Linked DNA regions of Nothobranchius furzeri. The protein of the gene in region 3 binds, or shares a complex with, the protein of the main gene of each other region. Links are inferred from orthologs where the notes say so. Each region holds a gene or a part of one and is shown on either strand. Other genes may lie near its edges. The genes, in order: ppih, lsm6, prpf8, lsm5, lsm3, snrpd2 and snrpg.

What was found.
Region 1: prpf8 (region 3) and ppih share a complex: the UniProt entries of both Homo sapiens proteins name them as parts of the U4/U6-U5 tri-snRNP complex. The link is inferred for Nothobranchius furzeri from reciprocal best matches to the Homo sapiens genes PRPF8 and PPIH.
Region 2: prpf8 (region 3) and lsm6 share a complex: the UniProt entries of both Homo sapiens proteins name them as parts of the U4/U6-U5 tri-snRNP complex. The link is inferred for Nothobranchius furzeri from reciprocal best matches to the Homo sapiens genes PRPF8 and LSM6.
Region 4: prpf8 (region 3) and lsm5 share a complex: the UniProt entries of both Homo sapiens proteins name them as parts of the U4/U6-U5 tri-snRNP complex. The link is inferred for Nothobranchius furzeri from reciprocal best matches to the Homo sapiens genes PRPF8 and LSM5.
Region 5: prpf8 (region 3) and lsm3 share a complex: the UniProt entries of both Homo sapiens proteins name them as parts of the U4/U6-U5 tri-snRNP complex. The link is inferred for Nothobranchius furzeri from reciprocal best matches to the Homo sapiens genes PRPF8 and LSM3.
Region 6: prpf8 (region 3) and snrpd2 share a complex: the UniProt entries of both Homo sapiens proteins name them as parts of the U4/U6-U5 tri-snRNP complex. The link is inferred for Nothobranchius furzeri from reciprocal best matches to the Homo sapiens genes PRPF8 and SNRPD2.
Region 7: prpf8 (region 3) and snrpg share a complex: the UniProt entries of both Homo sapiens proteins name them as parts of the U4/U6-U5 tri-snRNP complex. The link is inferred for Nothobranchius furzeri from reciprocal best matches to the Homo sapiens genes PRPF8 and SNRPG.

The regions. Positions count from the first base shown.
Region 1 is NC_091755.1:32,544,989-32,549,149, forward strand, and holds the start of ppih (peptidyl-prolyl cis-trans isomerase H), read right to left. Parts: upstream 2,871-4,161; 5' UTR 2,754-2,870; coding exon 2,688-2,753; intron 1-2,687. Other genes in the region: zgc:154075 (putative oxidoreductase YteT), read left to right, coding at 4,000-4,013. UniProt on the Homo sapiens protein: PPIase that catalyzes the cis-trans isomerization of proline imidic peptide bonds in oligopeptides and may therefore assist protein folding. Participates in pre-mRNA splicing.
Region 2 is NC_091744.1:10,586,828-10,591,247, reverse strand, and holds the start of lsm6 (U6 snRNA-associated Sm-like protein LSm6), read left to right. Parts: upstream 1-1,544; 5' UTR 1,545-1,633; exon of another isoform or gene 1,634-1,674; intron 1,675-1,694; exon of another isoform or gene 1,695-1,799; intron 1,800-2,044; 5' UTR 2,045-2,056; coding exon 2,057-2,150; intron 2,151-2,963; coding exon 2,964-3,077; intron 3,078-3,441; exon of another isoform or gene 3,442-3,556; intron 3,557-4,420. UniProt on the Homo sapiens protein: Plays a role in pre-mRNA splicing as component of the U4/U6-U5 tri-snRNP complex that is involved in spliceosome assembly, and as component of the precatalytic spliceosome (spliceosome B complex).
Region 3 is NC_091753.1:37,707,806-37,712,013, reverse strand, and holds the start of prpf8 (pre-mRNA-processing-splicing factor 8), read left to right. Parts: upstream 1-1,408; 5' UTR 1,409-1,586; intron 1,587-2,101; 5' UTR 2,102-2,113; coding exon 2,114-2,267; intron 2,268-2,485; coding exon 2,486-2,654; intron 2,655-2,748; coding exon 2,749-2,913; intron 2,914-3,033; coding exon 3,034-3,252; intron 3,253-3,341; coding exon 3,342-3,554; intron 3,555-3,691; coding exon 3,692-3,817; intron 3,818-3,960; coding exon 3,961-4,066; intron 4,067-4,208. UniProt on the Homo sapiens protein: Plays a role in pre-mRNA splicing as core component of precatalytic, catalytic and postcatalytic spliceosomal complexes, both of the predominant U2-type spliceosome and the minor U12-type spliceosome.
Region 4 is NC_091747.1:62,679,380-62,683,241, forward strand, and holds lsm5 (U6 snRNA-associated Sm-like protein LSm5), read left to right. Parts: upstream 1-1,536; 5' UTR 1,537-1,614; coding exon 1,615-1,660; intron 1,661-2,711; coding exon 2,712-2,807; intron 2,808-2,894; coding exon 2,895-2,922; intron 2,923-2,993; coding exon 2,994-3,066; intron 3,067-3,143; coding exon 3,144-3,176; 3' UTR 3,177-3,320; downstream 3,321-3,862. Other genes in the region: late secretory pathway protein AVL9 homolog, read right to left, coding at 886-972. UniProt on the Homo sapiens protein: Plays a role in pre-mRNA splicing as component of the U4/U6-U5 tri-snRNP complex that is involved in spliceosome assembly, and as component of the precatalytic spliceosome (spliceosome B complex).
Region 5 is NC_091743.1:73,197,463-73,201,699, reverse strand, and holds lsm3 (U6 snRNA-associated Sm-like protein LSm3), read left to right. Parts: upstream 1-1,335; 5' UTR 1,336-1,401; coding exon 1,402-1,422; intron 1,423-2,623; coding exon 2,624-2,734; intron 2,735-3,180; coding exon 3,181-3,276; intron 3,277-3,624; coding exon 3,625-3,705; 3' UTR 3,706-4,214; downstream 4,215-4,237. UniProt on the Homo sapiens protein: Plays a role in pre-mRNA splicing as component of the U4/U6-U5 tri-snRNP complex that is involved in spliceosome assembly, and as component of the precatalytic spliceosome (spliceosome B complex).
Region 6 is NC_091753.1:27,245,754-27,249,977, reverse strand, and holds the start of snrpd2 (small nuclear ribonucleoprotein Sm D2), read right to left. Parts: upstream 2,905-4,224; 5' UTR 2,769-2,904; coding exon 2,767-2,768; intron 1,797-2,766; coding exon 1,617-1,796; intron 1-1,616. UniProt on the Homo sapiens protein: Plays a role in pre-mRNA splicing as a core component of the spliceosomal U1, U2, U4 and U5 small nuclear ribonucleoproteins (snRNPs), the building blocks of the spliceosome.
Region 7 is NC_091755.1:44,518,773-44,521,340, forward strand, and holds the end of snrpg (small nuclear ribonucleoprotein G), read left to right. Parts: intron 1-952; coding exon 953-1,077; intron 1,078-1,864; coding exon 1,865-1,915; 3' UTR 1,916-2,019; downstream 2,020-2,568. UniProt on the Homo sapiens protein: Plays a role in pre-mRNA splicing as a core component of the spliceosomal U1, U2, U4 and U5 small nuclear ribonucleoproteins (snRNPs), the building blocks of the spliceosome.

The DNA.
Region 1 (4,161 bases), on a different chromosome or scaffold from region 3:
TGTCCGTAAATTTCAAATACACATTTTGATGCCAAAAAAGCGCTTATTTTCAAACAGCGGCAAAAGCTGTTTCAGGTTTTGTGTGGAAAAATACATATAGGACTACAAACGTTCGTCCCACTAAATTGATATAATTGACCCAGACAGAGAAGAGGGGGAGATCAGTTTAGCAAAGAATCCTTCTTCCAGGACCAAAGAAGGAGCATTAAACGAAACGTGAAAACCACCATAAATCTGGCTATCTGATAAGTAGCAGCTACGCTGGGGAGAAAAGATTTTGTCGGGACGTCATATATGCGACTTCTGATTTGTAGTCATTTTATTTACGAATTTTTACAAGCAAACAAAGCTGAAATTACATGACATAATTGTGATTCAGGGCGTAAGGCAAAGCGGGTTATTTTTTCTTTGCTCCAGGGACCCATGAGCTGACTGGAAGGGGAGGAGACTTGGGTTCTTATTATCAAGTTTTACATCCTGCTGTTCCAGCGGGTCGCACTGGCTCATGAGCTCCTGTGGTTTCACAGACTTTGTTTAGATCATCCACTCAACGTCATTAGTTTCGCAGCAAAAGAATTATTCAAACTACGTCCACACGAATGAACTGTTCGGTCCTTTATTGTCAACGACGTAATTAACAGTGTCCATCTCTTTTTTTCCATTTGGGGCTCTCATTTTTCTACTTTTACCTGAAGCAGGAGGCTACAGATACACAAACATGAGCGGTTAGCAGCACATCCGCCTGGCTGCTACTGAGCTGTGGGTCTCTACTCTTCATACCGAAGTTCTATCTTCCCACTCTCACATGTCCATCGAGGAAAAGTTGTTTTGAAATATTTATTGCCATCGTTTCATTGCCCAGCCCTACCTTCAGTCCTTCTGGACAAATCCTTATAGCAGAAATCCACTATGATTAACAATGAATAATGAGAAGTGTTCTAACAGATTGAAGGTGAAACATCTACATATGTTTGAGATTCTGCTGCAAGTTAAATTTTGTTTGGCCAAGTAGGGTGGAGTCACCTGGTCTGAACGAGGCTGAAGGTAAGGCTGCTACAGAACATATAACAAATTGTTTCTAATTATGGCTTTCTGCTCTGGGTTCAGATCAGTTACAGCCATTTGTGTAAGTTTCCCAGTGACAAGCAGCTACATGTTGTAGCTTTAGAAGTGAAACATCCTCTTCAAATTAAACTAAATCAGATGCCGTTTCCTGATTAGGTTTGTACTGAAGAGCATTTGATGACTTCAGCTGCAGTGAAGCAAAGAGAGGGGAAATGTCCACATGAAGTCATTGTAATAAAAAACTTTACCGATTCCATAATCATATCCTGCAACACGACTTCAACAGAGTTAAAGCTACATTTCAAACCCAATCATATTCAGAACCATTTTTTCCCTGTATGTTTACAGGGGAGCTGGTGTCCATCTCCAGCAGTCACCGAGCGAAAGGCAGGGGTTCTCACTCCATGCAGAAATACACAACCAGTCTCACACAGAAGCAAGTTATGGGCCATTCCCATCTGTACCGGGTCGGCCCGGGCCGGGTAGGGTAGGTTGTTTACATATCTGGGTGGCCTGGTATTTTTCCGGGCCAACCAAGGCTCATTCTCAGCCCTCTTCTCGAGGGGGTTTGCTTCAGGCCGACCAGGGCCAACACACCCACTGCTGACAGCAAATTCACACCTTCCATTAGAGCAAGCCTCTGATTGGTGGGTAGAATCAGCCCACATGGGCTTAAGGCAAGGATGTGTGGAATCAACCGGGCCAGGCTGGGGCCGACCGGGGCTACCCGGCCCGGGCCGACCTGGTACAAATGGGAATGGCCCACTAGAGCCCCCAATGAACCGAACATGCATGGTTTTGGTCCATCAAAGGAAACAGGAGTGCCCAGGAAAAGCCGACGCAGAAATAGCGAGAACATGCTCTACACATAAAGGCCACAGCTGGAATTCAAACCAGCAGCCTTCTTTCTGAAAGTCAACAGGACAACCTACTGCATCGCCGCCCTAATGCTACGTTTAACAGAGAAAAAATAGTGAAAACATGTCTTTGCCCTGAAATTCTGCAAAATTTTGCACACATTTTTAACGGTTTTGTGATTTTTCATTATTGAAAATAACTCACATTAGTTTGAAATTATTAATACGATTATTTCAAACTTTGCTTTATAATCAGTGGTCAGGGGTACTTTGTAAGTATATGAGAAGTATCCATTTGCATGCAGTGTCTGCTATGTTGAATGAACATGTTCAGCATCGACACAGATCTGCTGTTTTGTTAATGTCCTGGTGCATGCTTTAAAAAGCAGGTGAGCCAACCAAGTTCTTACTGGTGGCACTTGCACACGCAGAGCCACTTTCTCAAACCTATAAAATCTTCTTGGTGTTGATTGTCGAATGTTGAAATGGAAGATAAAAAGAACCTCAATCTCGTTTTTATTCAAGTTAAACGTTTTCTCTGCGCCTTTCAAAGCACATAAATATCCACTACTTAAACAAAACGTTAAACGTAGCACTGATTTACTATTATAAGAAACAAATAAACTAAACATAATACCTAAAATTCTGCTTACTCTCCCATAAACTTAATCAAAAGGCGACTTTGCGTTGAGATGAGTAACTGAGCGCGGTGACGTTGACAGCACGTTTTCGGTAAAATAAAAAGAACTTTTGGGTTCCACTGACCTGCCCTCCGATGGTAATGTCAAAGAACACGATGGGGTTGTTTGGGTTTGTCGCTTGAACAGACATCGATATGTTTTGACCGCTTTTGCACAGATTTCAAATTACAAATCGGCAAAAAAAATTACATACTAGCCATTTGAAAATAGAGAGCATGCGCAGAAGAAACTTATGGTGGCTCGCGAGAGACAAGGTACGAATTGCAACTAGGGACAAAAACCTAGACATGCATTGTATATATTTCTTCTTTAGACCCTGGCTAATGTTGGTGTAAATCTTTTGTTTCCCATAGCTATGTTATTACTAGGATTTCACATAACTTAAATCCAACCTTTTCCTGATGTTTAGCAGTTCAAAAATGCAAATTTAAAATGTTTCAAATTTTATTTAAAGGTCAGCTGGAAATAAATAACTAAATATTAAAATACAGTCTCAGTGAATAGTAAAAACAGAATTAAGTTGAGCAAAATAAAATGCAATGTACGTCTTGACTCCACTGTCCTCTTTAGAAGAAGAGAGCACAGGAGAACCCAGGAGAACACGAATGAACACTCTAGAATGATTTTACCAGAGCGCCACCTTGTGCTGCATATTTTTTCACTAAATAAAAATAGTCAAATATTGAAAACACGACTTGGGAAATTCGCAAGAAATAGAAATAGGTCAATTTTGGATGTGTTGGACAAGTAAAAAAACCCAGTATTTTCCAACATAAAAACACTTGAAATATCTTATTATACACTGAAAGATGAGTAATGTATAGTTCCTAGTGGCTAAATTATGCTCAGAAAATTATAATTTTCTCCAACTCATTATAATAGAGATTTACTAATATAAATGCTTCAAACATGTTTTGTATGATGTATGGCAAAACTTCAAGTTCAGTATTTGAATCTAGATCTATAAATGTATAAATTACTTATCTTTACTTCATAGACTTGAAAACTATTTATTTTTGCAGGGCAGGGTATGCCATCAGAGTAATATTTTAAATAGATTTTCAAAATAACATCTCCGACTTGTTCTTTTGATTAATTATTTCATATTTCTTTTCATGGTTCGTTTTCAAAATGTCAAAAAATGTTAACAGGTTAATATAAAGATTTGTGTGCGCGCGCGTGCTCGTGTATTTTTTATTTATTTTTCAAAACAAATCCATGACTAGATGGCAAAAAGTCGTAATTTACGAGGTACAATGAATGTGGCACAGAACCTTGTGTACCGTCTGTAGGAGGAGTCGTGTGTGCTTCACTATCCGAAAAAGCCACACAAAAGTAGACCAACACGGAGGAAAGACAGCTGTTCTAATACTCGTATGGGACAAAGCAGGTAACAGTACAACTGGTGTTATAAAATGAATTATGTTATTTACCCGAATTGCCGAAACATCTGTTAGGATTTACCCTTTTCCGTGTTTATTTCGCCAAGACTCTGGTCTGCTCCTTTTTGTTTTCCCGGTACACATAATTCATGAGCT
Region 2 (4,420 bases), on a different chromosome or scaffold from region 3:
TCCACAGGGTTAGCCATGCCCTGCTAACAAGCAACCTGTCTAGACACACAAGAAGTACTTTATGATTCCACCTTTCACAATCCCCCCTCTGTCTCTCTCTTTTTGTTTCTCTCTTACTTTCTCTCTCAACCTTTCTGTCTCCACTAACACGTACTGGCACATCCTCACGCCCTCTATGCTCTTCTGTTTTTCTCCCCACTATTTCATCCTTGTTTGCCCCCATACACCATTTCTCATGTACCTCCCAAGCTGTGCAGTGTTTGGGTCGTGCTCCCAGCATCCAAGGTTTATATATATATATATATATATATATATATGTGTGTGTGTGTGTGTCTATAATATTTTTTACAAACCCGAAGTTGGTTACTCGTTAGAATAATTAAAAGAATTATTTGTTTTCATACACTTTATTCATAGACTTCTTCACAACTACAAAAAAGTTTTCCATTGGTTCAATAGTTTTTGTGATGTTAACAAATGTTTGTTATAATAAGAAAATATTTCACCAGGCACATGTTTATGTTTATGTTTATGTATTTAGCAGACGCTTTTGTCCAAAGCGACTTACAAGTGATGTGTTTATAAGAATGAAAAGATGTCTTTTTTAAGTGCACATCATAGACTGTACATACTGTGCACATTTTCCCATTTCCCCAAGATTCACTGATTTCCCTCTTTCCTGTTCACTCTCTCTCTCTCTCTCTCTCTCTCTCTCTCTCTCTCTCTCTCTCTCTCTCTCTCTCTCTCTCTCTCTCTCTCTCTCTCTCTCTGTCTCCCCCTCTCCCTCCCTCTCTCTCTCTCTCTCTCTCTCTCTGTCTCCCCCTCTCCCTCTCCCTCTCTCTCTCTCTGTCTCCCTCTCTCTCTCTCTCTCTCTCTCTCTTTCTTTCTCTCTCTCTCTTTGCCTTTTTAATCACAATTGTCTATTTTTGCTTATTTTGAACATATTTTAAATCATTTTTTGAAACCTTTTTTATATTTTATATTTTTGTGAAGTGCCTTGAGATTTTTGTCTTGAGAGGAGCTACAGAAAAGATTGTTTTCTTTCTTTCTTTCTTTCTTTCTTTCTTTCTTTCTTTCTTTCTTTCTTTCTTTCTTTCTTTCTTTCTTTTAAACGTTTGAACACTTACAGATCAAGAAGAAAGAAAATGTACCTGAAATTGGAATAGGCTTATTTGTGCATATCCCACATTACATTGAGATAAATTTTGAATTTGTAAAAAGAATAGTAAAATAATACAATGAGACATTCACATGAAATATTATGTTTTTACATATTTACAGTAGTTTCTCATTTTCTGTATGAATTTGTTACATAATAGAAATATTACTAATGCTTCAGTTTATTCAAAGTATAACAATGCACAACAAAACAAAAAAACTTTAGTATATTATAATATGAAAGCCAGTGGATATAATATTAATTACAACATATTAGAAATACATTTATAGAAAATAACTTGTTAAAGGAAATGGGTATATCGTATTTTTAAAATGTACTTTTAAATATTCTTGTTTTGTCTATCGAATTAAAACTTTGCGCTTTCAGGACATTTGTCCCTACATAGTTTCCGTAGTCCTCCAATGTGATTGGTCAATGCGCCGAACATAAAATCGTTGTGAGATCGTTCATCCAGTGAGTAACTTGCTAGCTCGGTGTTCGCATCTGTAAAACTAGTAAAACATCTATTTCCTATCTTATTAGGATCTGTTATGATGTAACAATACCTGTACATTGTACTTTATTGTTAAACAATCTCCTACGCTATTAGAGGCTAACGAACTGACCCACGGAATAGCTGGTAGTTAGCACTTAGCTCGCTAGCTACATAGAAGCTCATTTGATAATTTGAACGTTTTAACCGTACATAGTTTTGCATTTAGGCGTGTACTATCTGGCTACAGCTATTCGTTTTAATATTCTCGGGTTTGAATAATGCCTTTGTTACTAGATAATCAATTATAGCTTAAATGTGTATTAGGGTAATGCTAATGCGGTTCTTTATTGTGATAAAATGAGATTTACTCATCTGTTTTATTCTTTTAGATAAAAGCGAAAATGAGTTTGAGAAAGCAGACCCCGAGTGACTTTCTGAAGCAGATAATTGGGAGACCTGTCGTGGTCAAACTGAACTCTGGTGTTGATTACAGAGGTAATGCAGCTGGCATCAGGTGTGGGAATGTTTAGGGTTCTCAGAGTTTGATTAGGTTATGAATCAGAGGGTTTGTTAAGCAGTCATTGATGCATCTTTTTACGCCTTCTGCCTCATGTTTAGTTCTAGACAATGACCCCCTGACAACTACTTTTAATTTTTAATGATCTTTTAATTCATTACAGTTAAGTTCTTTATACAGGCAGACAGGAAGTTGAATGATGTAATCCCATATAGGATTAGAAACTATGAAACAAACACTAACTGAAAAACAGTTAAATTACTGCAGTTAAACTCCAGTTAAATGCTGAGTAATTGGAATAAACTTGAAAAGTTTCGTGAGGACCAAATTTTGCTTTAATCTTCAACAAACTATTTGTGTTTGTGTTGATATTAATTCATTTACCAAGCTAAAGAGAGATTCACACAGGTTACACAGATACATGGAGGAGGAACACTTTTTGACACAACACTCCTACTCAGACATCTTTGTTACAGTTTAAAATGTTCAGTTTTTCAGTATTTGATGTATTTATTTCTTCAGTCAAGACTCAAACTCCATCCCAGTTGCACACCATAATGTGCCACACTTCTGCACTTCAGATGTCTGCCTTTTACACTCACCTAAATAATGATCATTATTAAAATCTGTTTTGATAATTTTTGAATGAATTTGTAATGGTTTATGTTTGCATCAAAATGCATAAAAAACAGTATGCCCCTCTTCCCTAGCTGGCACGTTCAGGTCTGTTGTTGTTTTATTGCCCAGGTAAGTTTATTTTTAATCTGAAGTTTGTGTTTGTCTCTGAGCAGGTGTTTTGGCCTGTCTGGATGGTTACATGAACATCGCAATAGAGCAGACGGAGGAGTATGTCAATGGACAACTCAAAAACAAGTATGGAGATGCCTTTTTGAGAGGAAATAATGGTAAGATTTGATGTTTTCACGCTGCAGGGCGTTATACAACACCGTTTTCCTCTGTTACTATAGCTCCAAGTCATATTTAATGATTAAACATTCCAGGTTATGAAGGCTGTACATTTGCCATGATCTGAGTCTTTGGTGCAGTCAACTTCCTAGCCTCATTCTTATTAGCTCACAGAGACAACATTATTACACTGTGTGCTCTAATAGATCTTTCAGTTGTTTAGGTTTTTTTTTTCAATCCAAAGTGATTAGAGATTTAAATTTGTTGACAATTTTTAAATGAAACTTTCAAAGTCATGCACCACAAGATGTTTATTTTCATTTTCTCATTAAGCATTTTTGCACCTCAAACCTATCTTTATAGGAAAACCACAAGATATTCCCTTTTAAAGTTGGGAAACTAACCATGTCGGAGTTATACAGGAAGCTCACTTCCGATGAAAACATCGAGCCCCTTTGTTGCTGCTTTGAAAAAACTGGTAAAATGCTACTATTTTACAGCATCGTTTGTTAATTAATTCATTATGTTACATTAGAAATGTACTGATTTAGCTTCTGATGGCAGAAACTGATTTGTGTTGCCTCAAAGTGATACTAATTTTGGGTGATTTTTAAATATAATATGCTGTTTGAATTTAAATATTAAATAGAATATTTTGGAAGTGTAAACTTCTACATTAATAGGGTTAATAAGTAGGGTTAGGGAATATTTTGATACCTGTGTGATTTTTGTGGTGCCTCTCTAGACTGAGCAGATACAGCTGCGACTGACTACTAGGGATGCACCGATGGATCGGCATTTGATCCCAACTGGCCGATAGCGCCCCTATCGGTTTTGATCGGAGTTTTCAAAATGGATCAAAGCAGACCGATCAGGTAGGGTTGTCACGGTAACCGGTGTAGCAGTAAACCCCGGTAAAATAAAAAAAAGTTGACAATAATAATAACCGTCCGTTTTTAAAAAAACTATATTATCTCGGTGGTTTACCGTGGCTGCGGTGTAGGCGCGGTGACCCTTACCAGCCACCGTATCATCTGTTGAAGTTGCCAGCGGCACATGCGCACTTTGTTGTTTACAACCAAAACTTTCTTGAAGCTAAAGCTGAAATAATGGCCAAAGGAGGAAACGGCAGCGCGCAGGACATTTATTATACCTCAAAGAAAACAAAGTGGGAAGTACGGGCATTTTTTGAATATTTGAAGAATGCCGAGGGACAGTTTATAGAAGACGGCTATCCTGTTTGCAGCACGTGCAGAAAAAGTGTCTGTGAAAGGCAGCAACGCTTCAAATCTCATGACCAGTGTTGGGAACGTTACTTTAAAAAAGTAATTAGTTATAGTTA
Region 3 (4,208 bases):
GGACGGTAAAAGGAATGAAGATACACAGTAAATTTAGTTCACAGTAAAGATGTTTGATTCAGTTTAATTATCAGCTGATAAAACTACAAGGGCGCTGTTAAAATACAAACAGTTGTATGTTATTTATCGTGATATTTATCAAATATGGTTATAAATTGAGAAAAAAATATATATATCTAATTATAAAAGAGAATTAAAATAATAAACACTCAAAAGTATCGAAAATTGGTACCGTTAAGTACTGGTATCGATTCGTAGGTACCGGGAATTAGTACCGGATCGATTCAAATGTCAAAGGTACCCATCCCTAATATAACTTAGTTCCTGTAGAAATACAATAATATAAAATTATTATCTCTATAATCACGTGTGTTATCCGCTCTGTTCATTTTCAATATAATAAGATAGTTACTGATTAAAGAATTCAATCAATAAGCTAAAATAAATAAGCACTGGGTGAAGACAATCAGGAAACCTATCTGTTGCCTGCTGAGATTCTGAAGTGAATGAGTTCCAGAAGCTGTATGTAATAGTACATCTATGACATCATAGAACTCAACCGTACCTCTTTGATGTCTGTTTGATCGTGGTAGTTCTGTTTTCCTGGTTGTCCTAATGACTATTGTTTGATCGTGGTAGTTCTGTTTTCCTGGTTGTCCTAATGACTATTGTTTGATCATGGTAGTTCTGTTTTCCTGGTTGTCCTGATTGTTCTCCTGGAAGTCGAGGTAGTTGAAGCAGACAGAATGGATGAACTGGATGCCAGAGCAGTTTTGCTCTACGGCAAGAGGGATGTGGGATATTGCTCTTGTTGTGCAATAGCCTTTATTATGTTTGTGGCATGTTAGACCACATTAATCTACGCACCAGAGTGGACAGGCAGGGAGAAAAGAGACATACAACACAAACAGGGAAAGAGAGGGAGGGGGAAATGGAGGGACAACAGTACACTAAAAATAGAAAACAGACCGCCAATACAGTGGGGTCATCATTTTAAAAAAGTAATAATAATAATAATAATAATAATAATAATAATAACACATCTACAAGAATAAATGGAATAGGAGCTGTTAAATTATATTATCCATATTTATAGTAGCATGTAACTGTGTGTGTGTGTGTGTGTGTGTGTGTGTGTGTGTGTGTGTGTGTGTGTGTGTGTGTGTGTGTGTGTGTGTGTGTGTGTGTGTGTGTGTGTGTGTGTGAGAGAGAGAGAGAGATAGGATCCTGTAAGGGTCGGTAGTGAACCGGAAATGATTACCCCAAATCATCCGGGAAATCGCTGCTTTACGCATGTCTAACGTTGGCGCAAATTATTTCACGTAACCTTCTTGAAAAGCAACAAGCAACCATACTGTTATATCTAGCGTAGGTGCTTTTGTGAATTACACCAGAGATGCGCTGATGGCTGATCGTGTGGTTACCGTCGTGGTTTGGTTTAGCTCGATGGTTTAGCTACGACCATCTCAATTTATTAACGCGGAAAAAAGCACCAGACGGCAACTAAAAAGAAGAAATGTTGTAGTTATTGTTTGTGAGTGGATCGAGGGTGATTTTGAAGTACATAAAGTGCCGTCGGAGCGAAGGTAACGTGGTGTAAGATGTTTTATACTCGTTAGTCTTTTATTGTTGGTTAACGTGCAGCCTTTAGCCGCTATGCTAACAGCGCCGAGCTTCTCCGCGCTGGGCCTGGAATTCGTTATCGAATTACTTTCACAAATTATTTGTAAAGCCGACAATGGACTCGCTGTTTTAGTCTATTTTTCTTAAAAATCTTTAATGCTTGACCTGTGCAAAAATTAGATATAATTTACGTGAAGTCTGGTGGTTTGAAAGTTTAGCGTGTTGTCGCTTAGTACGCCATTGATGAGCTAACATTGCAAACAATATGCTGTTCTCCGGTTTGTTGTGTTTTCGTTTTTCATAAGTAAAAATTACTATATTTTTGAAGTAAGCGGGCATAGTTTACTTTCAAATACAAACCCTTTAAACATTTTACGACTTAAGTTTGATTTAACGGAAAGCCAGATTGTGTTAAAGTGCGTTGTTTAACTTTAATTTAATAAGCCTGTGTGTATTGTTTTTTATCTTTTGTATTTAGCAGTGAGGCACCATGGCAGGAGTCTTTCCCTACAGAGGGGTCCTTCCTGGGATGCCACCGGGTGTGCCTCCTGTTGTACCCCCGGTTGTCCCCCCAGGTGTTCCCCTGGTTGTTCCTCCTGCACCAGTTCCAGACTACATGACGGAGGAAAAACTACAGGAAAAGGGTACCTTTTTAATTTCAGCTCAGCAAATCAAATGGTTGATGGGCTGTGCTTTGCAGATGATCATAAAATCATCTCCTAAATTCCCCCCAAATCATCGCCTTTGTCAGTGAATGTCTGTGTGAATGGATGAATGTAAAGCACTTTCGAGTCCTTCCTCTGAGAGGCGCTATAGATATTTATCATTTATAATTGAATTGTCTCCGCATCTAATCATACAGCAAGGAAATGGCAGCAGCTACAGGCCAAGCGTTATGCTGAAAAGAGAAAGTTTGGCTTTGTGGACGCCCAGAAGGAAGACATGCCTCCTGAACATGTTCGCAAAATCATTAGGGACCATGGCGACATGACCAACAGAAAGTTCCGCCACGACAAAAGAGTTTACCTAGGGTAAAAAATAATTTGTTCTTTCTTGTTGATGCAAAATGCTTTCATACTTTCAGTAATACCAATTCTATCTTGTGCATTATTTGCTGATGAACAGTGCACTCAAGTACATGCCCCACGCGGTCCTGAAGCTGCTGGAAAACATGCCAATGCCCTGGGAACAAATCCGAGACGTGCCTGTGCTCTACCACATCACGGGAGCCATTTCCTTTGTGAACGAAATCCCTTGGGTTATAGAGCCGGTCTACATTTCTCAGTGGGGGTAAGTGTTTGGCATTTCCTACTTTTCAGTTTTGAGCCAATCTTGAGTATCTTATTAGAACGTGCACATTGATGTTACTTTGGTATAATTCATTAATGGTATTCCCTTAATAAATTTCAGCACCATGTGGATCATGATGCGTCGTGAGAAGCGTGATCGACGACACTTCAAAAGGATGCGCTTCCCCCCATTCGATGATGAGGAGCCGCCGCTGGACTACGCTGATAACATCCTTGATGTGGAACCTCTGGAGGCCATCCAAATGGAGCTTGATTCAGAGGAGGACTCTCCTGTGGTGGACTGGTTCTACGAACACCAGCCCCTCAAAGACAGTTCCAAGTGGGTATTTTTCTTTCTTTTTATGTCAACACTTGCTGTATTTGGTTGTTTCACAACTTGAATAATTAAAACATTAAACTGTTTTTCAGGTTTGTGAACGGAACCACGTATCGTCGCTGGCAGTTCACGCTGCCCATGATGTCAACGCTGTATCGTCTGGCCAATCAGCTAATGACAGACCTGGTGGACTTTAACTACTTTTACCTGTTTGACCTGAAGGCCTTCTTCACTTCAAAGGCCTTAAACATGGCCATCCCAGGAGGACCAAAGTTTGAGCCGCTGGTCAGAGACATAAACCTCCAGTAAGAAGCTCCCATCTATTTATCAAGCATGCTGCCTGTGGAAAAAATATTTGTGAATCAGTATCACTTTAAACAGTCAAATAAAAACAGGTACTGAGTGTTTTCTCACTAGGCTGATGGTTACTTTTTACCTTCAGGGATGAAGACTGGAACGAGTTCAATGACATCAATAAAATCATCATCCGACAGCCAATCAGAACGGAGTACAAGATCGCTTTCCCCTACCTGTACAATAACCTGCCACACCACGTTCACCTCACGTGGTAGGAACCAAGCCAGTGATGACCTTAAGCTTAAACTGACTAATGCATTTATTTGGGATAAATCGATTAATAGAGATGAAATGACTGAATTCCCCAAAATGGAAGAACTGCCATGACCGACAAGTGATTTTTGCTTTCTGCAGGTACCACACACCGAATGTGGTGTTTATCAAGACGGAGGACCCGGATCTTCCTGCTTTCTACTTTGACCCACTGATCAACCCCATTTCTCACAGACATTCTGTCAAGGTTTGTGGTGTGGACAATCCTTACTGAGGGAGCAGAAGGGAATATTGTTTTATTTCTGATTAAGTCCTCTTACAAAGGCGCACTTGCACTGGTCCTCCTGCCTGTGCGTAAGAACAAGAGGAACATTAAAATGAATGGTGAT
Region 4 (3,862 bases), on a different chromosome or scaffold from region 3:
TATCTTTAATTGTGGGTGGCAGCTGTTTGCGAGGCCACAGATGTAAACAGATGGAGAGCAGCAACAAGGAGGATCACTGTTTCCAGATCTTAAAAGATCCATTAGAGCCGCTCAGACCAAACGCTTCAGGGACGCGTTCACTACCTAACCGTGTGTTTCCTGTTGCTTTCATCAGACAAGAAAGCAGCAAGGCACCAAGTTCATGTTAGCACGTTTACACACACCTGAGCTCTGAGTGTGTTACTCAGGTAAAAAGCATCCAGATCTGGTTTTGTGGGAGAAAAGTGGTTTGCCTGCAGGCTGAGCTAAAGGGAGGTGTGGCTGCTGTGATGTCACAAGAAAGCCTCTTTTTTATGTTTGTATGAATAAAATATTTGTTCTGAAAATATGCACTACTTTAGGACTTGGGTTTAATCATGCCACCAAATAAAAGGAAGTTTTGCTTCAGAGTCAGTTAGAAAATACCAAAATGCAAGTTACTGAAAGGAAAATAACGAATTTCACATTTTTGAGAGGAACTGAGATATTTCTGATGCAGTTTTTAAAGCTTGTAGCATCTTTGATTATTGTTGTTTCTTCCTATTCTGCCCATCACCGTTACTGAACATTAGATAATCAATTAGTATGGAGATCCAACCGGATGTGGGATCAGGTGAGCAGCTGCTGGAAACAACTGGAAAATTATCTGAGGTGGCAGCCAGAAGAGATGTTATATAACTCCGCACAAACAGCTAGAAATCAAAGACGGTTAAAATTAATATTTCCATCTGCATCAAATCCATCTCACCTGCAGTGAGCTGGACCATAACCCTCCATTCTAATGTTTTAGTAGGAATGCACCTTTATACCAGAGCTAGCCACAGTTAGCATGAAGCAGGTTCGTACCTGACAGCCTTTTTTATGGTGAAATCCAACAACCACGATGTGTAGCACCGGCCCCTTCCCTTCAGTTTCGCTGCCGTGAGACTCCATTTTCCCTCAGTCTTCTGTTCTGGAGGTCCGGTGGCGTTTGTGAACTCAGGGGGTTCGGATGTAAACACAGCGAACGGAGCCTAGTTTGAGCCCCGAATCTTTCCCACGCACACACACTCACGCGCGCGCGCACACACACACACACAGCGCTGCAGCTAGATTTCAACAAGATGTTTCCCTGTTCCTCACTTCCGTGTTTGCGTTACCGATTCTGTCAGATCCATCGGGGTCAGAGCACGGATTAGCTGTTAGCATTAGCTTTTAAATGAAAAACTGGTTCAAGTCGCATTTACACAATTTATAACAACCTGTTTCCAATGAATCTACTGACATATTTTCTTGCGAATATCTGATTTTGATCAAATCCTAAAATCAGTCAAGCATAACTTAACCAGAAACAGGAAGTAAACAAATAAACTCTCCATGCTGCAAAATCCATACTTAAGTCTTATACTCAAATATTTTTGCCTCTAAAGTGATTGTTGTTTTGGATGTTTTATTTATTATTTTTTGTGGGGGAATTTAAGTATATTTTTTTATCTATAGCATTCCAAAGTAAATCAGAGTTTGTCTATTCTTGCCTGAATTCGATTTGCTCTTGATTCGATTGGTTGTGACTGCTGCAGTCACACGAAGAAAGTCATGGCGGCTACTCAAGCGACAAACCCGTCACAATTGCTCCCTCTGGGTTCGTAAAATCTAATTTTGTTCCGTTCTTGCTTCAGATAGTTTCGCCTTTAGATACATTTCAATAAGAACCGAACAAGCAGTTCTAATTTAGTGAGTAGCAAACAGAAGTGAGCCGTTTTAGCGGTAAAATCACGCCGGTGTTACGTACAGATCTTTTCACCGAAGTAAACCGTGTCCCCGCTTCCTGACAAGATTTCTAGTCACAGGATTGTGTTCCTCCTGCTAAAATATATTATCTGTGGTGTACGGATTTAATTGTCAGTATGTGTAATTTGTGAAGTAAGCAGTTGCATGTATTTGATAAATTTAGGAACTCGTGGGGGTTATGCTTAGTTCAGCCATCTTTATTGCTTGCATTAATTTACTAATAAAAGTCAAATAAGGAACATTTTACCATTTAAAACATATTATAGCTTAAAGAAAAAGTTTTAAAGAAAACCCCCGGAGATTCTGGTTTAGATGGGGGACACATCTCGATGCAACACCAGCAGGTTTTAGCTAGCTGCAGATAAAGCAATAATTTCGTGTTCAAGCGTGAGTTTTTACCTAATTTATTTTAACAGAGGAGTATTTGTGGCAGTCTAAAAACTAAAAGAAGTGATTGTGTCCTATTTTACAGCAGTTATGACCTGAAAAAGTCAAACCAGCTCGGGTGCCTTAATGAGGATGGCGTGCTGATTGTACACCTGTCCGTGTCTGAACATGAGCAAAAGCTGAGCTGCAGCAGTCATAATAATACTCCTGAACTTATTGTGTTATTTAAATTCAAAGTAGTCACACCCGTGAACAACTTTCGTTGACAACTGACAAGAAAATTCATTTCGTCCATCGACATATATTCAGTTAGATTTAGTCATATTCTTCTGCCACCTACTGGCCAATTAGTGTATGTGCAGTACAAACCTCAACAGTATTTCCCTTAAGAAAAAATGATTTTTAGTAGTTGGTCCTGATTGGTTTTAGATGCTAAACATCACATTAGTTATTTAGAAAATTGTTAAAATCAAACTGAAAACTGTAGAAAATAACCTAACCTGTTATATTTTCAGAGCTTGTGGACAAATGTATCGGCTCTCGAATTCACATCGTCATGAAAACCGACAAAGAAATCGTCGGCACCCTGCTGGGGTTCGATGACTTTGTCAGTATCCTTCCTTAAAAGCTGCTGATCAGCTGTAGTGCGTGATTCAGAGGTGACATGTTCAGATTTGGTCCTCAACTGTGTGTTTCAGACATGGTGCTGGAGGATGTGACAGAATTGTAAGTGTACGTTGTTTTATTAACCGGTGTCTGCCTCATTCATCCTGCTCATCTCCTGGTGTTTCTTCCAGCGAGATCACACCAGAAGGACGGAGAATAACCAAACTGGATCAGATCCTCCTCAATGGAAACAACATCACCATGGTAGGACACAAACGGCTTCGGTCTCTCTCAAACATCACTCAGCTGGATGATTCATGTCGGGTTCATTTCTCCTGCAGCTCATTCCTGGAGGAGAAGGACCAGAAGTGTAAATCCTGTTTTGTGTCTTTTGTTTATTCTCTCCAGGTTTTTGGAGCATATTTTTGTAACATTCTTTGTTCAGTTTTTAGTAAAAGAAGCAGGTCTCACGTGGGAATTAAGATGTCTTTGTTGCAAATAAATCTGTTTGAAAAACATCCTTGTTTCATTTATTTATCATAAAAAGTAAATTTAGTGCAAACATTGGGACAAAATGAAGTGTTACCATCAGAAACCAGTGATAAAATCCAGCATCCAGTCTTTGTTGGACTGTAAAGCTAAATGAGAAGTTTCACTTTTGACTCATGAACAAAAAACGTGGAACCGATCTAGAGCTGAAACAACTAATCGACTTAATCGATTATAATCGATTATTAAAATAGTTAACAACTTTTTTAGTCATCGATTAGTTGTTTAATAATCATATTTTACCGCATAAAGTCTATTTTTTACCACAATCAGACATCGGTTACAAGCTGTTAAATTTGCCGCCAGTGTGTGGCAGTAATGAGCCACTGATCTACCAGTGGAGCCGTAGAAGAAGAAATGAGCCAATGGGTGCCCTCGGTTTTCATGACGTATCACGTTACTGACGCTCATCTTGCTGTGAGAGATGGCGGAACAAGAGGAAATACGGAAGAAAAATAGAAGCGACAAAACTGAAGAGAAACCCCGGACAAAAACCTCACGAGTATGGGAG
Region 5 (4,237 bases), on a different chromosome or scaffold from region 3:
TAAAAATAAATAAATAAATAAATCATGTGTCCCAAACTGCACCTGCACACATTTTCTAATGAATGGTTAAAAGCAATAAATCAGTGGAGAAAAACAAGTGATTCTGAAATGCACTGCCAAGTTCTTGCAACTTCGACATCTCATGGGGCTTAAAGGAGATGTACAGTTGGATGTCATCTGCATAAGATGGTTGGAGATTTCTTTGAAGGAGCTCAGGATGTGCTGAAGAGGGAGCAGATAGAGGAGGAAGAGTAGAGCGCCCAGCACAGAACCTTGTGGGACACCATGGGCGAGGGAGGTGGTGGAGGACCCAAACTTGGAGACGGCCACAGAGAAGCACCTAACCCTAACCCTAACCCTCAGACAGATAAGAGGAGAACCACTTCAGAGCAGATCCTGATATGCCTACCCAGTCTCTCAGCAAAGCTGCTGACACACAACCTTCTCCAGAAGTTTCAAATTGAAAAGGAGAATAGAGATTGGCCTGTAATTGTCTGCACAGAGACATCAGATTCTGGTTTCTTCAGGATCGGTTTACTGACTGCAGCTTTTAATGCAGTTGGAACCACTCCAGTGCTCAGGCTGCCGTTAATGATCAGACGCAGAGACTGACCCAAACACGGAAAGGCCTCCTTCCACAGACGAGGTGGCAAAACATCGAGTGGAGAGCTAGACGACTTCTGCCCTGAGACAAGCTTAGACAACTCAGAATAAGAGAGTATTAAAATAGCTCAGGGTGGACTGTATTGGAGTAACTGGATCAGGGTCTGTAGATGAACCAAAAATAGCAGCTCTAATGGCAGAGACTTTGCTAGTGAAAAAGTTGTGAAAGTCATCACATTCTCCAGCAGCAGTAGAAAAAATGATGCCAGAGTCCTGGTACACTGAGACAGAGTTAAGCGTTTTATGGAGAATTTTTGAATTGTTACAGTTTGTATCAATGATGTCAGCAAAATAGCCCGTTCTAGCGACCCTCACAGCATCAAGATCAAGATACTCTAAACATCTAATGGGAGACCTGTAGGTCTATGCCCGTTTATGTGCAGCCTACAGTTACAACAACCGGCGTACAATTTGAAAACAGATCAAGCGGGATTACTAGTAACTTTACAAGCCTACCTCATGGAATTCTATATTTAAATATATTTTAATTTATTTTGTTAAATTATATTTATATTTTAATTATCATGCCATATATTGTATCAGCTTTTGTGAAAAAGCTTGATAAAATGCGTTTTTTAGTTGGCTAAGCACCTTCCTAAGTAGAAATTAATGCAGTGGGGGCGAATGGAGACCCAACTAAGATGGCGGTCGGCCACTACGGCAGCCGTCCACGGGGCGTCTACGTATATATGACTGCGACCTCAGAGCCCATTGAGGCACTAGGCCAGTTAAAGCATCATGGCGGATGAAGTGGAGCAGGTTCGTTTGGTTGCCGTGTTTATACACTTTTGTTCGTTTTAGCGTCTGTGCAGTTGCTTGACTTCGTCGCGCATTATTAACTTTATGCATTTCTTTAATCTAAGGATACAAGCGTAGCATTTTGCTAATTGCTAACACGGTTTAATTGTGTTTAGGCCTGTGAAACCGGTTAGCCCACATTCACCTAGCGTTCAGCTCATCCTAAAATTATCAGTAAGCGCGTAAAAGTTACCAGATTCTCACAAATGAAAGATTAATGAATGACTTTTCCCGTTATGTTTGTCTAGCAAATTGGACAAATAATTAATATTGAGTTTTCTTTAACTATTGTGTTTAGTTATTAACTTTAGTAAGTAACGAGTCTCAACAAACTGTTTGGATCAAAGTTTATGATTTAAAATGAATATTTCTAAGCTGTAATGTGCAATTTAATTGAAAATAAAGATATTAGTGACAAAGATACCATAGTGTTAATAAGTCATGAGACGTTTAATTGGTTTGATCAGTACTTCTGCACACTCTCTTTACATTTCCTATCAGATGGTTTGTTTTCTAAGCCCTGGTCTTTAAAGGCAAGCCTTAACAAAGCTGTACAGACACAACAAAAATGAATAAATAACAATATAAAGACTCAGCTAAACAATGTTTGGATATTAGTGATGCATCGATATAAATTTTTGGACCGATACTGATATCCGATATTAAGATCACTGTTATGGCCGATAACCGATATTTGCCGATACCGATATACACTGACATTAATGCTTCCAAAATCTGCAGATTTTATATAGAATGAAAATTATTAAAGCTGGATTTACATTATTGTGTACACACAACACACACATTTACGCTTCTGAGGTGATTACAATCACTGTCACATGATTAAACAAATACACATCACCCCCCTCACCCTCTGAAACTGATAAACAAATGGAGACGAGATAGAAAAATTAATATCGGCCCGGTTTTATTTATGGGACCAATACCGATATGTTTAAAAATGACTAACATCGGCCGATACCGATATTGATGCCGATATATTGTCCATCCCTATTGGATATTTTTAATCTAGATTTTTAAAAACATTTCCGGTGAGTGTAAAAAAACCGACTAGTTTTGTTTTTAAATGTTTGCTATTTGATGAATATGCCAATAAAAAATGGAATCCGTACATTGATGATTATTTTAATGTGTTCCACAGCAACCACCTACCAACACGGTGGAGGAGCCTCTCGATTTGATCAGGCTCAGTCTGGATGAGCGGATCTACGTGAAGATGAGGAATGACCGGGAGCTCCGCGGTCGACTACATGTACGACACACACACACACACACACACACACACACGGTTCAGAAGATCCAGTTTTTTCACAATACTTGCTGATAAAACAGGTAAAAAAAATAAGACTGAAAATTCTAATGTCAGTAAAACAACTTAAAAGGTGAAACTAATCTATGAGACAGACTCATTCCACGCAAACCCAGATATTTCAGCCTTTATTTGTGATGATTATGGCATTCAGCTGATGAAAACCCCACATTCATAATCTCAGACAATTAGAATATTGTGTTCAGGTAAATATTCTAGTGTCAGACTTTTATCAGCTGATGAATCCAGAACACCTGCAGAGGGTTCCTGAGCCTGTAGATGGTCTCTCCATCTGAGCTTGATTACTGTCATAAATGGACTTTTGCACCATATTCTCTTTTGTCCAGTTTCACCTGTATGTCCTAACTAATGTTTGCCATCTGGTCCAGGCGTATGACCAACACTTAAATATGATCCTGGGGGATGTGGAGGAGACGGTGACAACAGTGGAGATTGATGAGGAGACGTATGAAGAACTTTATAAGGTCAGTTTTTATGAACAAACATAGAAAAACCTCTCTAGCCACATTTCTACTGAACAGCTTTTGTTTTGGACTCTTTGCTGTGTTTGCTTAGTGGCAAACTTGTGCCACTGTTGGGTGATGCTTAAAGATCCATCAGATGCAGAAACGTTAAACGATGTTAACTTGTCACTTTAACATAACGCTGAATAGATCTGCAGAAAGTAATAAAACAGAATTTTAAGATTCTACGAGGTTTCATTATTGTTCATGATCAGAAACTCAAGTTTTATTTAAATTTGACGGTACTTTAGTGAGTATTTAAATAAAATATCTGTTATTTAAATGTTTTTACTGTATTTGTTTCTTTAGTCTACCAAGAGGAACATCCCCATGTTGTTTGTCAGAGGAGACGGCGTTGTCCTCGTAGCTCCGCCTCTCCGAGTCGGCTAAGCCCCCCATGCCTGACAGGATGATGTAACTGCTTCTGGGAAGTGTCCATTTTTGTAGGAGAGTGTTATAAATCTTCATTTTCCTTATGCTAGACTGTTATTTCATCTTTAAATTTCATGTGAATCAGAGGCTCTTCTCTAGGGCAAAATGTCTGAGGGGGGAAAAACCCAGGAAGTATGATGTGAGGACACTTTTTTTTATTTTTTGACACATTCTGGGATTGTAAGAATCGGCCTCAGTAGATACTATTATTTTTAGTAGAAAAACATTTTTCTGAATCTTATCAGTTCCGATTGAGTCATTCCAGTGTTTATAAAGACTCGGGTCCCCTTGTGAGCGAAATGTTTGTTAAATTGCTCAACTTTTATGTTGATTTTTAGCTAAATGATTGCATTTGAGTCCCAGAACATTCTTTTTCTTTTACATGACGTTAGTGTTTTATGATTTAGTCATGCTCAGGTTTGAAAATTTTGTTTTTATGTGGTTGAATAAAAAGTGAAAATAAGAAAGTTATACTTTTTATTTAATTTTT
Region 6 (4,224 bases), about 10 Mb from region 3:
AAATCTCAAATAAATTCCTCAAAAAAATTGATAAATTCTTACTGTAAGAGAATAAACACTACAGGCCTTCCATGCTTTTATTGTGTTGCGGTTGGTTATGTTCTGGTGACGTGTAGAACTTGGGAGTGCAGGCTGCTGCCTGAGAGGTGGTAGAAGATGGAGTGTCTCCATGCTGCTTTGTTTTGGTCACTTATGTGCGTGAGGCGAGTGGTCTTACGGGTTAAACCAAACTCAGGTAATATTTTACACTAAACCGAAAACCCACAACACTCTAAATGTAATAAAAGGGAGATCTACACCACAAAAAAGATGAACTCTAAACCAAAACGTAACAGCTTATCCCAATGCAAGAAGCTGTTAGCGAAGATGCTAACAGTAGCTTTACCAAAAGTTCAAGTTACCAAGTTTAAATAAACCAAAAACACCCGGCAGCAAACAGACCAGCAGGGAGGAGAGACTGCTACCACCAAAACAGCTCTCCTCATGTCTGAAAGAAGCTCCTTTATGAAGGGAGAAGCGCTCCCGGTGATTTTCTACATCTGCGATAGACATGAAGCAGCGCATCTGACCCCGGAAGTTGTTGTCCGTTGCCGGGAGACGAAGGGGAAAAACAGGAAAATAATCTAGTAGTGGACGGACATTGTTCCGGGTCTTCGGTATTTGGCGGAGATGTTAGTGAAGGCGGAGAAGAGGGCAAACTAGAGGAAAAACAGGCAGATTCCTCCTCTATTTACAAACTCCTGGGGATGCAACAAGTGGGCGCGGTGCGTCAACTTCCGGATCTGACGTCGACAAATTTTTAGAATCGAGCCGTCGACTTCGTCGAGGCTTCGCTACAGCCCTAGTTTTAGGTGCCTACCTCCATTTGACTGTTTAGCATTTGTATTAACAGGTTACTACAGGGGTGCCCAATCCTGGTCCTGGAGGGCAGGTATCCAGCAGGTTTTGTGTTTTTTCTGCTCCAACAGACATGATTCAGTGGTTGAAACACCTGTGCAGCAGCTCATCAGGCTCTGCAGAAGCCAGTTAATTAGCTGCTGATTGAAATCAGGTGTGTTGAAGCGGAGTTCAAACTAAAACATGCAGGACCAGGATTCCGGCACCCCTGGGTTACAAAGTTAACTAAAAGCTGTTTGATAAGCTATCATCGGGTATATTAGGGCACCCTGGTGCAATAAGCTATACTTTTATGCATGATGACATGATTAGTTGACTAATCGTCAACAAAACTGGTGATTAGTCTACTATTAAAATTGTCTTTTGTGGCAGCCATACCTAAATGTGATTTTAAGTTTTTTGACTCTGCCATCCAAATGCATAAATGCATGGTGGCGCAGTTGTTAGCACTGTTGCCTCGCAGCAAGAAGGTTGCAGGTTCGAAACTCGGCTGTGGCCTTTCTGCGTGGAGTTGAGTGTTCTCCCCATGCATGCATGGGTTTCCTCCAGGTACTCCGGTTTCCCCTACAGATCACAACATGCCCTACAAGTAAAAAATTGTACGTCGCTATGGATAAAAGCGTCTGCAAATAAATAAACATAAAAAGCTAAATGTAAAATTTTCTCGCATAGATGCAGAACTCTGAATGTTTTTTTTTAGATGAAAATTCTTTCAATACCTGTCAAAAGCTTTAACTCTTCCAAGCAGCTTCTTATTGTTGCGGCAGTTGATGAGGACTTGAGTGTTGTTTTTCACTGACTGGGTGAGCACCGACAGGGGGCCGGTGTTGAACTCCTCCTCCTCCCGCTTCTGGAGTTCTTCTGGTGTCATCTCTGATTTGGGCTTCGTCAACAGACTCCTACACAAAAGCAGACACGATACTAGATCATTTGCTTCTGCACAGATAACGGTCACAAGTCCTTTTAGCGGTTTGCTTTTAAAACTTACATGATTACAAGATAATAAATGAAAACAAGGCACCCTAACTAAATGCAATTCAAGAAACCTGACTTTAACCGAGATTAAAATTTAAATCTCTCAGTAGAAGAGTGGGGAAGTTCCCATAGGCATTTAACAAAACTAATAACTTATTTTAAAAAATTTACACCAAGCTACTTTTAGCAATAGCCAAATATTCAACAATATCAGACATACACGTTTAATTTACTGGTTAGCAATCAGAAGTTAAAAAAAATTGAAGAGATTAGAATGACAAGTTTTGCATTAACAATTAACTGTTTCTCTGAGTTTCTTCATAACCTTCCTTTACTCTTTTGTATCAAGCAATGGATTTCTTAGAAGATTGATTAAAAAAAACATGTGGAACATCCTTGAGACAGAACGTCGCTAACAATGATGTTCTGAATTAAAATAAGCTCATATGCTTCAAAAACATAAAGCCGACTTCGTTACTAGGCTAATATCCTGACAATTTCATTCTCCAAACGCACATTTTAGAAAGTTGGTCAAACTGTTATCTACGGGGAACACAATTTGACTCAACACCGGTCTCCTTAATCGTGCTGCTAATATTTCGCAATTGGCAAACATAAAATTTAAACAATCGTAGCATCATTAACGATCACCAACGTAACTACTACATATATTTTATTGCAGTAATTACCCTGTACATATTAGGTTAATGGTGAGTAAAATATGAAAAGCGATAGCACGTTTAGAAAGCAACACAACGTGAGCTAACTAGCATTCATCAGTGAAAAGGCTAAACATGTTAGCATTCGAGAAAAGACGCTGCGACTCGTAGCTGATACTCTATCTCAAAAAATGACACTTTCCGAAATGGCTATCTCATCATCAACGACACTTACATGATTGGTGGTTTATAAAAACTGTTTAAAGCTGTTTTTCTCTCGTTTCCACCGTCTAATTCTTATGAGCAACGCTTCTGCCTTCTTCTCGTGGACGAAAACACTTCCGGGTCATTCTCAACGCGCTCTAAACAGTTCGCTATAACTTCCGGGTTACGGAGATTCTGCTCGGTAAGTGTAATGGAAAAAAAATCATCCATAAATGTAAAAATCTTGAAACTATTATTTTCTTAGTTACTTTTTTCCTAAATTCTATCTATCTATCTATCTATCTATCTATCTATCTATCTATCTATCTATCTATCTATCTATCTATCTATCTATCTATCTATCTATCTATCTATCTATCTATCTATCTATCTATCTATCTATCTATCTATCTATCTATCTATCTATCTATCTATCTATCTATCTATCTATCTATCTATCATCATCATCATCATCTATAGTAGTTCTTCAATACAGTTCCAACACAACCAGTGCATAGAACAAGCGTGTAAAAGGTAAGCCCCTCTTTTTTCGTCATTGCTTATTCTTCATACGTCATGAAGCTGATGCCCAACTCTAGCACTCATCAGTCAAGAGGTGAGTCCTTGGATGGGTCACCAGTCTAGCACAGGGCCACATGGAGACAAACAGGGACAAACAAATATGTATTTATATTTAGAGACACAATGGAACCTAAATGTTCTTGTTGTATCCAGTGAAAACCAGTGTATGCATGGCCAGAATGCACTTTGAAGAAAGGCAACCTTGCAACCTTCTTGTTGTGGGGAAGCAGTACCATTTGTACCATGCAGCCCTATATCAAAAACTCTCTCCTCACAAAGTAAAGAGGAAATAAATAAGACTGAGGAAGCAGACCTCTCCGTAGTCTGCAGCCCAAACAGGTAAGCCTTTGTTTCGCTGTTTAACACAGCAAAGGTGTGTGTGTGTGTGTGTGTGTGTGTGTGTGTGTGTGTGTGTGTGTGTGTGTGTGTGTGTGTGTGTGTGTGTGTGTAAAGGAGAGAAACGGGTATATGTGGCAGCAACGAGACACTAAGAGATTGGCTTTCTGGCAAGAGACAGACAGACGCCTATGGGTGCTCAACCCACCCACCTTGTTCCAAAGGTTACAGATCTACCTGTGGAAATCACTTGCTGTAGATAATGGCAGGCTGTGTGTTGCTGGGAGAGGTGAATGAGTGGGATTGGTTTCCAGACTGCACGGTTCTATACCTTTACCAAGCACACTCACCCTAGACTCTTGCATCTTGAGATGCAGACTAAAATGAGCTCAGCGTTACCTTACATGGGATGGAGCTGCATTCTCTAATCTGAACACACTACAGTGGCCCAATTAAGAGAGCAACAAGCATTAAATCAGATGAGTAAGTACAAGATACAAGTCTATCAATCAAACTATTAACATTTAAATGCACAAATCTAAATGTTTATTTATTTAAAATGACAGAATAT
Region 7 (2,568 bases), on a different chromosome or scaffold from region 3:
GAGGCCTGGAAGACCAGTAAGAAGGGCGTTGCAGTAATCGAGGCGGGAGATGACAGTAGATTGCACCAGGAGCTGGGTGGCATGTTGTGTTAGGTATGGTCTGATCTTTCGTATGTTATACAGCGCAAAGCGGCATGAACGAGCAGCAGAGGCAACGTGATCTTTAAAGCTCAGGTGTTCATCAATCACAACACCCAGATTTCCAACTGCCTTTGAAGGAGCCAGAGATAGGAAGTCATTCTGGATTGAGATATTGTGCTGCATGGATGGTTTTGCTGGGATGACAAGTGGTTCAGTTTTAGAGAGGTTGAGTTGGAGATGATGGGATTTCATCCACTAACAACTAAGAAAGACTAAACTCTACAAGTCCCCACCATCCTGTTTATTCTGCATCCTGCAGCGCTACGCTATCAGACCCGCTGCAGATACGAGTCACATGACTGCTACAAGTCTGCTCCACACACAGGAGCAGGAAGTACGGCAAGCTGTTGTAGTATATAATTCACAAATGCTTCTATCTTTGAACATAAATTAAACTGGATTATTGCCAACCTGTACATAACAGATAGGCCACCGTTACACTGTTAGCAGCAGAAATTACATGTTATTACCATTTCCAACACAAATGCAAGTTAATGAAAAGCATTATATTTTACCGCATATATTTATGTTGTTTTGACTAAGATGAGTGTTATTACTACAAACCTAAAATGTTACTGAAATGTTGGTCAGATATATACAAATACTTTAACTATAAATATCAGACAAGAAAAAGGAACTAAACACCAATCTGATGCATATTATTGAGCCTTTCATAATAAGAGTCTGTTATTCAGCCTGATCATTTTGTTGTTTTATTTCTTATTTTTAGCAGCAAACCAGTTTAGTTTCACTTGAAACGTTAGGGTTAGGGTTGTGTGTGTGTTTTCAGCACTAATAACTTGTTTTTTAGTGAAGCTGAATGGAGGCAGACACGTGCAGGGCATCTTGCGAGGGTTTGACCCCTTCATGAACCTGGTAATGGACGACTGTCTGGAGATGGCCCCAGGAGGACAACAAAACACCATCGGCATGGTGGTCAGTACCTGACCATGTTCCCTTCTCCTCTTTTCTTTTGTTTTTGTTAATAAATACCGTGAAATTAGCCATGTTGGTCTGTCATGATCTTTGAAAAGAGTGTAGACTAAATACCTGAGACCGGGGGGGGGGGGGGGTCAGGTCATTAAGCCAATCAGTAACAACTTTCCTATATAAGGAAGCCAGCAGGTCGCATCAAGTCACTGACTAGTGTCAGAGTCTTTACAGCAATCCTCATACTAAGCAAGCATGCAGCGACAGTAGAGAGGAAAACTCCCTTTTAACAGGAAGAATCCTCCAGAGAATCCTGGCTCAGTATAAGCAGCCATCCTCCACGACTCACACACACACACACGCATGCACGCACACACACGCACACGCATGCACGCACACACACGCATGCACGCACACACACACGCACACAGTGGTGTTTCTATGGGTACATTGTGATGTCTTAGTAAATATTCTATTACGTGAGAGATAAACTTTATTGTATGTATCCTAGTGGATCTATAATTAAACGGGTAAACTAGTAGTAGCACACTCCACCTCCCTCTACTCCCCCACTTGTCCACATCTGGGCTAACATCAGATTTTAACCATGGGCCCTAAACATAAATCAAATAAAAATGTTTTGAGCCCAGTCCTAAAAAGGTGTCTGGATCCATATTTGCAAGTATTTAGTCTCAGCTTCCAGTGAGAACCGAACGTCTGTTGGTGTGGTTGGCTACAGTCGGGCATCACACACGTTAAACACTGAATAAATAACTGTGTTTTGTTTTCCTAGGTGATCAGAGGAAACAGCATCATCATGTTGGAGGCCTTGGAGAGAGTATGAGAGAGGAGCATCACCTGTATTCCATTTTAGATGTTAAACTTGTTTTATTTCCTCCACTCTGGTCTTTTGTTTGAATGTTTTGTGAATAAATCTGATTTTGTTTACTGTGAGTTTCTGTTCTGTGTAACATGACAGCACCTTTGGTTTTTACTGCTGAAGTGCCGAAGCAGTCTACAACCAGAAGAGTTGAACTAGCTAACGGAGTCGTTTTAGACGTTCAGGTGCTGCTGGAACTACTTCTCTGAACCCAGTTTGTGCAGCTTTCCCAAAAGTTTATAAAACACTGAATTGTTGTAAATTAAGCATTTTTTATTTAGTGACACCTGCATGATGTGTCGGGATATTTGTAACAGTAGTTGTTTGAAAATATCCTGAAGTAGAAGCCTGTTCCCATGGCCATGTGTGATTAGTTAGAAGTTAGAGGTGCTGAAAAAAATCCATTCAAGTCTGAATCGGGACTCTGATAAAGGTTCAGATTCGATTCCAGGAACTCAAATATTTGGCATGTTACAGGTTTGAGATGCACTTGGAGAGTCAGTACTCCGATTACTTTTGTGGTCCCATAAATTGAGATGATTTGTGTTTGAATCTGCTGATACGAGGGCACTAGATTGTCATTTTTCCCATACTCATTCATTTGAGATGTTCTCATT